2 linked regions of the Nothobranchius furzeri genome follow. The protein of the gene in region 1 interacts with the protein of each later gene in a pairwise test. Links are inferred from orthologs where the notes say so. Each region holds a gene or a part of one and is shown in the gene's direction. Other genes may lie near its edges. The genes, in order: bag3 and arrdc3a.

Region 1 (3,519 bases):
ATTCCCTTCTCGGACCACCGTCACCAGACAGAAGACTGGCCCGGCTTCTCTGCTGCTATGCAGCCCCCCAGGGAGAGGGCTTCTCCAACAATATTCACCCCCCATCGCGACTCTGCCTCTGTTCACCTCCCACCTCACGTCAGAAGTCACTCTCCTATTAAAACGCAAGTGATGGGAGAAAGACCACCGGTACGTTTAATGTTTCCGCTTGCCTCTTGTTTCTCTAACTGAATTAGAACATACATGAGGCCACTCAGAAGTATTATCATAGGCAATGTTCATCTTTATTTATATAGTCTTTGCATTTACGACAGTTGAGTTTAGTTTAGACTTTTTACTTTGATCAGGACATGAATTCGGAAAACATTTGACCTTTTTCCATCACTATTTCCTCTTTTGACTTTTTCACTGCAAACATTTTTTACCTTTTCCGGAAGTAATATTTACAGTTACAGTTTTTTTCATCAACGTTTTGAAGTTAAAGGGAGAGGTTCTAGAACAACTCTTCGAGAACTATCTTTGAGTGTCTGCATAACATATGGAACTTTGTTGGGGCTCAAAATGACACAGGAGCCCTGATAAACTGACACATTTCAGAATAAAGCCTTACAATGGTAAGATTGGTTTGCTCCACCCACTCAGCCAGGAGATGAATATTCAATGAGCTGCATGCTGATTGGCCTGTTTAGCCTGATGGCTCTATGACGCTGCATAATCCGGGTAACTCAATAGGCAAGCTACGGATCTATCGGGCATTCATCCAAAGTCTGGATATGCCCAGAACATCCTGGAGTGTTAGATGCCTGCTCTGACATTTTTCATTGTTGTTTTCCTCTCATCCAATAAGGAAATCAGCAGTAGGTCAGGCTAGCATTGTTCTACGGTTAGCATTACCACCACCACCATGTATTTACTGCTGACATGGAACTGGGTTAGGAGACGCTGATTTAAGAGGTGTTAAACCAACTTTTCTCAGAAAAACAAGTTTCTCCATGACTACGTTTACATGCAGCCAATATCCGGGTTATGATCGGGTTAAGGTCGGGATTCGGGTTTCTGAGTTGATCAGAATAACCCGTTTACAAGCATAAATAAAAAGAGATACCTCTAACTTGCATAACCCGATTTAAATGCGGACGTTGGGGTAGCGTCAGGACGTATGGACTACGTCCAGACGCAGTGTGCGTCATTTCCGGTTCTTCTTGTTCCGGTATCCGTGAAAACAACAACATGTTTCCCAGTTCGGAAGAGATAGCGACCGCGCTTGTTTGCGCTTTAGTTTCCTCGTCACTCCAAAAGTGTGGTGCTGTGCCGCGACTCGCCATGTTGCTCCCAACTTGTTGTTTACTTCCGGTGTTCTGGCGCATACAAGACGTCTCGCTACTCAAAAGACCAAGATTCCTTGCTAACAGAGCATGTGCAGAACACACGCTTTGATGGGGATATCCCGATATGCGTTTACACGACCAAACATTCGGGTTAGAAAAGGGTTACCCCAGGTGTAGTAACCGGGTTTTTAAAAACCCGGTTATGAGCATATCCGGGTTTCTGGCGGTGTTTACATGGACCTGCGGAACTTGTGAATGTTTGGGTTTTAAAAGGGTTACTGGCTGCATGTAAACGCACTCCATGACCATTACAACATTACTAATTTGCATTGCAAAGCAGACTCCCCAAGCTGCCTGTATTCAACAACAAGGAAACAGCGGTTCTGAATTCTAGGACCCCTTTAATCTCTAAACTAGAAAGCAGTAAAACTCTTTCTGTTTCTCAAAAGCTTTTTTTTTCCTTCCGAGTTGCCCTAATATCCCCCATAAGTTACACATGGATCACAAAAACGTAGTTTTGTTTTTGCTTTTAAGGCTCCACAGCGTGTGCTCTCAAAAGACCCGCCGCAGAAAATGGAGCAGGAGCAACAAAGCACGCAGCAGAAACCTGAGAACACGTCATCTCCTCAAATGCTACACACCAAGGCCGACATCCAAAAGCCTCAGCCGTTCCAGCAGGCACCGCCTCAGACTCCGCCTCCACAGCAAGAACAGTCGCAGCAACAGAAGCACCAAAAGCCGGAGTTTCCTCAACATCACGTGGCGGACATTACAGTTCAAATACCTCCAAAACCGGAGTCCCAGGACGGGATGACCACACCCCCAGAGGTGCCGCCTGTTCAGGCAGAGGCTGAACATGCCGGCCAGTGTGCTGTCCACCCAGGCTTGGCTAAGGTGCAGCAGATCGTTGAAAGGGTGGCTAAACTGGAGCAGGAGGTGAAAAGTTTTAGCGGAAAGAAGAACGATAAGAAGTATTTGTTATTAGAGGAGCTTCTGACCAAAGAGCTCCTAGCTCTTGACTCTGTTGACCCCGAGGGCCGTGCAGACGTACGGCAAGCAAGACGGGATGGAGTCCGACGAGTGCAGAACATACTGGAAGAACTGGAGCAACTGGAGGAGCAGCCCATGGGACCCGCCAGTGACGTGGAGGGACACGGCCTGACTCAGAAAGGAGAGGCCGGCATGATCACTCATAAGAATGTTGAGACGGCGAAGGAGATATCCTAGTGACTGCACCGATTTTCTAATGTACCAGGAGAAATGGATCATGTGCTGTGTATCTGAGCAAGTTGCATGCATTGATTAAAGGTGTCAGTTCAGCACACAATTACCGATCGCTCAGTGGATTCGTGTTGTTCAAGCCATCGTTGTTGCCTTCTATGTTGCGCCAATGTCTTCACAAAAAGATCATCGTCAGTGAGATGTTGACAACAAGCACTAAGTGAGCTGAAGTTTAAAAAAAAACGAGGCCTTTACCAAACAGACGGAAGACAAACAAAAGTATTTTCCTAAGAGCTCTTATTTGTGGTCGTCTTTTGTCTGATTAAATGTTGTTCGGAGCTTTTCTTTTTCAGTCAGCAGAACGTCACTTGGTACACGAGTAGAAGCGGTGGGACTTTAAACCCGTCAACAGACGAAGATGTTCTTCAGAGTTGGAACCGCTTTGTCTAAAATGAAGAGAAAAGCTTTTTTAAAGAGTGGAACTAGTTTACCAGATGCTGCTTTTGGGTGCATTGCTGATTCAGCCGTTTTTGCACTTTGCCATAACAGAAAATAGATCCTGCTGATAATCGGCAGCACGTCGTTTTGAACCACGTCACTTAGACACGTTTTGTTTTTGAGTGTTTGTATGTGAATCAGTCTACTTGCAAATTATGATATCACTATTTATATCACTGAGTATTTTGGTACATTTATGTGTGTGTGGACAAGCGGGGTGAGATGCACAGCTACTCGATGCGAGACAATCGGCACCTGCTGCTAAGCTGGAGTCCTGTTTAAGACTGTCAGAATGTCCTTGTACAACTACCAAAGCCACAATCTTTAGTCCCACAATAACGGCCTCAAAGCTTTAAAACCCCTGCGATCGCGCCCTTGCTCAGACACCACAGTTTCAGGTTTTTAGAAAACAAAACCGCTTTTGTGATTATCTTAAAGCTCTGAACCATGTTATGATAACACTAACCGTGTA
Region 2 (4,357 bases), on another chromosome or scaffold:
TCTAAAAGTAAAGAAAAAAATTCCCAAACTGAGGCTTTTCACGGGTTTTACCCTAACGTGTTGTCTTTTTTCTTTTTTAAATAATTTATTTTTACTACCGCGCTGTCGGTGGGAGGTATTGTATTTACTTCCTGGTCATGATTTCAAAATAAAAGTATACTATAAAAAAAGGGGGGGTGGGGGGGTTGTTTCGTGTCCATGGGGACAAAGAATGAAACTGATATTTAGAAGGAACTGAAATAAAATAAAACTCAAACAAAATCCATCGTTCATTAACCAATTCATGCATAAAAGTATAGTACCACGAATTAATAAATTATAAACATTGCTAGAAGAGTGTCCCATCTTTTTAATTCAGCGGCAAAGTGGACACTAGAGGGCAGCATGCAACTAGGCATTAAACGTTTGTTTTTTTATTTATTTTTTTAATATTTTGCTGAGCTGGCACTGCAGTCATCCCACCTGTATCTATTGACATCCTAACGTTTAAGGTGCATGTCAATGTGTCCTTTGTATAGATAAAGTAAACAGCTTTCCAGATGTGTTTTATGTAATATGGGAAAAAAACATTAATGAATGCACTAAATGGCATTACATATGGTGTGTCAGGGAATCTATGAAGTTTATTGGATTTAATTGGAGGTAAATGGCATTTGTTAATACTAAATTATAAAATAAAAAATCCCCGTCAGGACAATAATGCCTGATTACCTTTCGGGCAGCATCCCCATACTGGCTGATTAAAAGTAAAGAACATTGGTATTGTTGCAGATCAACAGGTGATTCTGCTGCAGCCCATAGTGGGAACATTGGTTGCCACTAGGTGGCGTTTTGAGTCACGAGTTGTTTTTCTGAAAACTGGGAGCTCAACACAATGAGAAAGAGTCTTCTCAACATACACGGATCAGAATCAGTTAAATAACAATCAAAATGGGTCAGGTATATGAGTTACAACCACAGATGATCTGTTTTTAGTTTTATAATTAATATGCATGTTCTATACATCTACTCTGAACAGCCCTATGCCGTGTGCATCATGCAAAATGCAGCTCTTTGGATTTTACAATGACATTGCTCTGATTATGTAAAAGCGTTGTGTAAAGTGTTCACAATAAGCCTGCAGGCTGTGGCTCCAAAATAAAAACAAAATTCACACGTTTTGTGTGATTTTAAAAAATACTTACTCAAATATTGAGGTGGACTATGTACAGACTGGACTAAATCTTATTATTATATTGATAATTGATATTTTTAATGTTACAATTCGCCCCAAAAGCCTCACCCAGGACTATTGCAAATATTTCTTTATGCGGTGTTTCAGGTGCTTTTACCATACTTGCAGGGCGGCTGGATGAATGTGAGCTTTGCCTCACACTGCTCTGCCTGCCTTGTTCCAGAAGGCGAGAAGGTGGGGGCTGTGCAGCCACGCGCAGGCGCAGAAGGTTGTTTTTCACACAGCTTCTGGTTTAAAGTGAGCTGAGCTCCGGGGGTTTCCTTGTCTGTGACTGAGACCATCAAGGAGACAGGCAGATGATAACAGCATCCATTGCTGGTTATCAGCCTTCACAAAGCTCAATGAACTGCTCACAAAGAAGCCACTGATCGTGCCCGCTGCTTCTTGCAGGGCAGAGATACTGATCAGTGTCTCCAACCCCGTTTTTCTTATGAGATTATTTTTTCATTAACTCCTTTTTTTAGAGCTCGAGAAGATCTCTTTCCGCCATGGTGCTAGGAAAGGTAAAGAGCTTCATAGTGAGCTACGACTGTTTTAATGACAGCAACGTCCCCGTCTTCTCCAGCGGGGACTCCGTCTCAGGGAGGGTGATCGTCGAAGTCACCGGAGAAATCCGGGTGAAATCTCTCAAAATCCACGCAAAAGGAATAGCAAAAGTTCGTTGGACTGAGTCAAGAAACGCTGGATCCAACACTGCCTACACCCAGAACTACACAGAAGAAGTGGAATACCTGAACTACAAAGATATTTTAATTGGACATGAAAGAGGTAAGAAGTTTTGTAGAAATTGTGATGCTCCCCTGGTTGGGGATCAGGTTCGCTGAAAGATATAGAGTTGCAGGGCTCAATAACAGGATAATTGGTTCGATTAAAGACTAAATAAAGACCTGTCACTTTATTGCCTTATTTCAGACGAGATGTTCGGTGGGTATTTAGTTGTCTTTTAAAATCTCCATCGTTGCTTGTTTTTGTGGTCAGAATGAATGACAGCTGCTCACGTATCTTGTGTTTTTCATGGCATTTGAGGCGCATAGGGAGGATTTATCTCATTTAAATACATATTGGAATTGAGTTGATTCTGTATTTTATAGCTATGAAGCTTTGTTTAGAAATTTCATCGCTAAACAACGATGAAGTTTCCACCTATTGTTCAAAGCGGTTCAATCCTGTTCCGAAAACTGGTTTGCGAGGGGGCGGGGGGAAAGCCAGAGCGCACCCTGGCTCGTGTGTGATTGGTTAAGATGCTAGTGTGTGGCCAATGACATCATTCCCCTGCAGAGTGGCAGAAAAAACTGCAACTTTTTAATCAATGTAAAACACCTGCAGGACACGAAAATTGGTGGTTTTACTGTAAATTTTAAGGAATTGTGAGTTGCAACCAGGATGTGCTGGACATTTGAGATTTCTTTGCTCTTAATTTTTAATTAAAATCAAGAGTTTTTTTTTTCTTATACCAGTGAATGCAGTAAAGCTTTTATTTGCATGTATTCGGTTAGGTCTGTTAGCATGGATTATGTTAAGCTAACATGTCCGAGACGTGGTGATATTGTCGCTGAACGATTTAATATTTATTAGCGTTGGGAACACGTGTTTAAATAAGTGGGTAGCAGCTCCTTTAGTCTTACGGGACCACAGAGCTTGTCAGACGCATTTATGTATGTGGTTGTTGTGACTGCGGCGTCGCGGAGTGAATACGTAATGCCGAGGGAAGCTGCTCACACCGGTTTAGTCCGGTCTTCTCCTGCTGGAGTCTGTCTCTTGACTGACAGCTCCGCACTTGTTTACCACACGGCTTCTGCTAGGGGGAGGGTGTGCTGAGCTGGCAAGGGCTGCGCACACGTCCTTATCCGCCACATATTTACCTTTTCATGTAAAATGAGCAATATTAAATAAAAAATTCATAATTCCCCCCCCAAAATAAGTGAGAAGGCATCGCTTCGCTTTGCCCCATAAAATTACTTGTGCATTAGCATCACTCACGTTCAGTTTCTGATTTCTCCAAATTTTACTCTGCTGTTTTTTAAAATCTCAATACACTTAATTTCTAACAGACAAGATCAATTGTAAAACCCGTTTATTCTCTTTTTGTCTCCCCCACCCTGTGTTCTTTGATATGACTTACAGATGCCTTCGTAGAGCATTTTGTCCAGGTATGGTATACATGTGTTTGGAATATTGTCCTCCTTGTTTTTCAGACGATGACAACTCGGAGGAAGGACTCACTACAATCCATGCAGGAAGGCATGAGTATGCATTCAGCCTCGAGCTTCCACAGACGTAGGTGTCCCAATACGAAACTAGAATCAGAGAAAAAGTTATTTAGATTTGAGAACTTGACCGTTTTTCTCCTTTCTGCCCTTCTTTTACCGTCACCTGCAGACCTCTGGCTACCTCTTTTGAAGGAAAACATGGCAGTGTGCGCTACTGGGTGAAGGCAGAGCTCCACAGGCCATGGCTCCTGCCCATGAAGACTAAGAAGGAATTTACAGTCTTTGAGCACATTGACATCAACACTCCGTTATTGCTGGTAAGAAGTCATAGGAATGATGAAATGCATAGCTTTTATGTTTGTAAACTAAGAAAAAATGTTTATAAGATGTTTTTTCTCTACTTTTTCAGTCGCCTCAGGCCGGCACAGCAGACAAGACGCTTTGCTGTTGGTTCTGCACCTCAGGTCCAATTTCCCTAAGTGCCAAAATTGAAAGGAAGGGATACACCCCAGGTGAGGATAAGTGAATAAACGATAAGGTTGTTACTCATCTGTTTACCAGATGAGCCAATGGGATGATCACATTCTGCAGGATTCTCTACTTGTTACTGATTACTCATAATTAGGGTTCCTATCACTAGAGAAAAATATTAACTTCCATTATGTCTTATATTTGTGTAGGCGAGTCTATCCAGATATTTGCCGAGATCGAGAACTGCTCGTCCCGCGTGGTGGTGCCAAAGGCGGCCATCTACCAGACACAGACCTTCTATGCCAAAGGAAAGGTGAAGGAGGTCAAGCAACTGGTGGCCAACCTGCGGGGGGAGTCCTTGTCCTCTGGCAAAACGGAGACCTGGAATGGCAAAATGCTGAAGATCCCACCTGTGTCCCCCTCAATCCTGGACTGCAGCATC

The links.
Region 2: the proteins of bag3 (region 1) and arrdc3a interact in binary tests that used the Homo sapiens proteins (3 or more experiments, as listed by UniProt). The two-hybrid records come from large-scale screens. The link is inferred for Nothobranchius furzeri from reciprocal best matches to the Homo sapiens genes BAG3 and ARRDC3.

The regions. Positions count from the first base shown.
Region 1 is NC_091752.1:5,536,365-5,539,883, reverse strand, and holds the end of bag3 (BAG family molecular chaperone regulator 3), read left to right. Parts: coding exon 1-189; intron 190-1,862; coding exon 1,863-2,555; 3' UTR 2,556-2,801; downstream 2,802-3,519. UniProt on the Homo sapiens protein: Co-chaperone and adapter protein that connects different classes of molecular chaperones including heat shock proteins 70 (HSP70s), e.g. HSPA1A/HSP70 or HSPA8/HSC70, and small heat shock proteins (sHSPs), e.g. HSPB8.
Region 2 is NC_091757.1:41,571,214-41,575,570, reverse strand, and holds the start of arrdc3a (arrestin domain-containing protein 3a), read left to right. Parts: upstream 1-1,511; 5' UTR 1,512-1,722; coding exon 1,723-2,002; intron 2,003-3,358; exon of another isoform or gene 3,359-3,386; coding exon of another isoform or gene 3,387-3,429; coding exon 3,430-3,511; intron 3,512-3,613; coding exon 3,614-3,761; intron 3,762-3,853; coding exon 3,854-3,956; intron 3,957-4,124; coding exon 4,125-4,357. UniProt on the Homo sapiens protein: Adapter protein that plays a role in regulating cell-surface expression of adrenergic receptors and probably also other G protein-coupled receptors.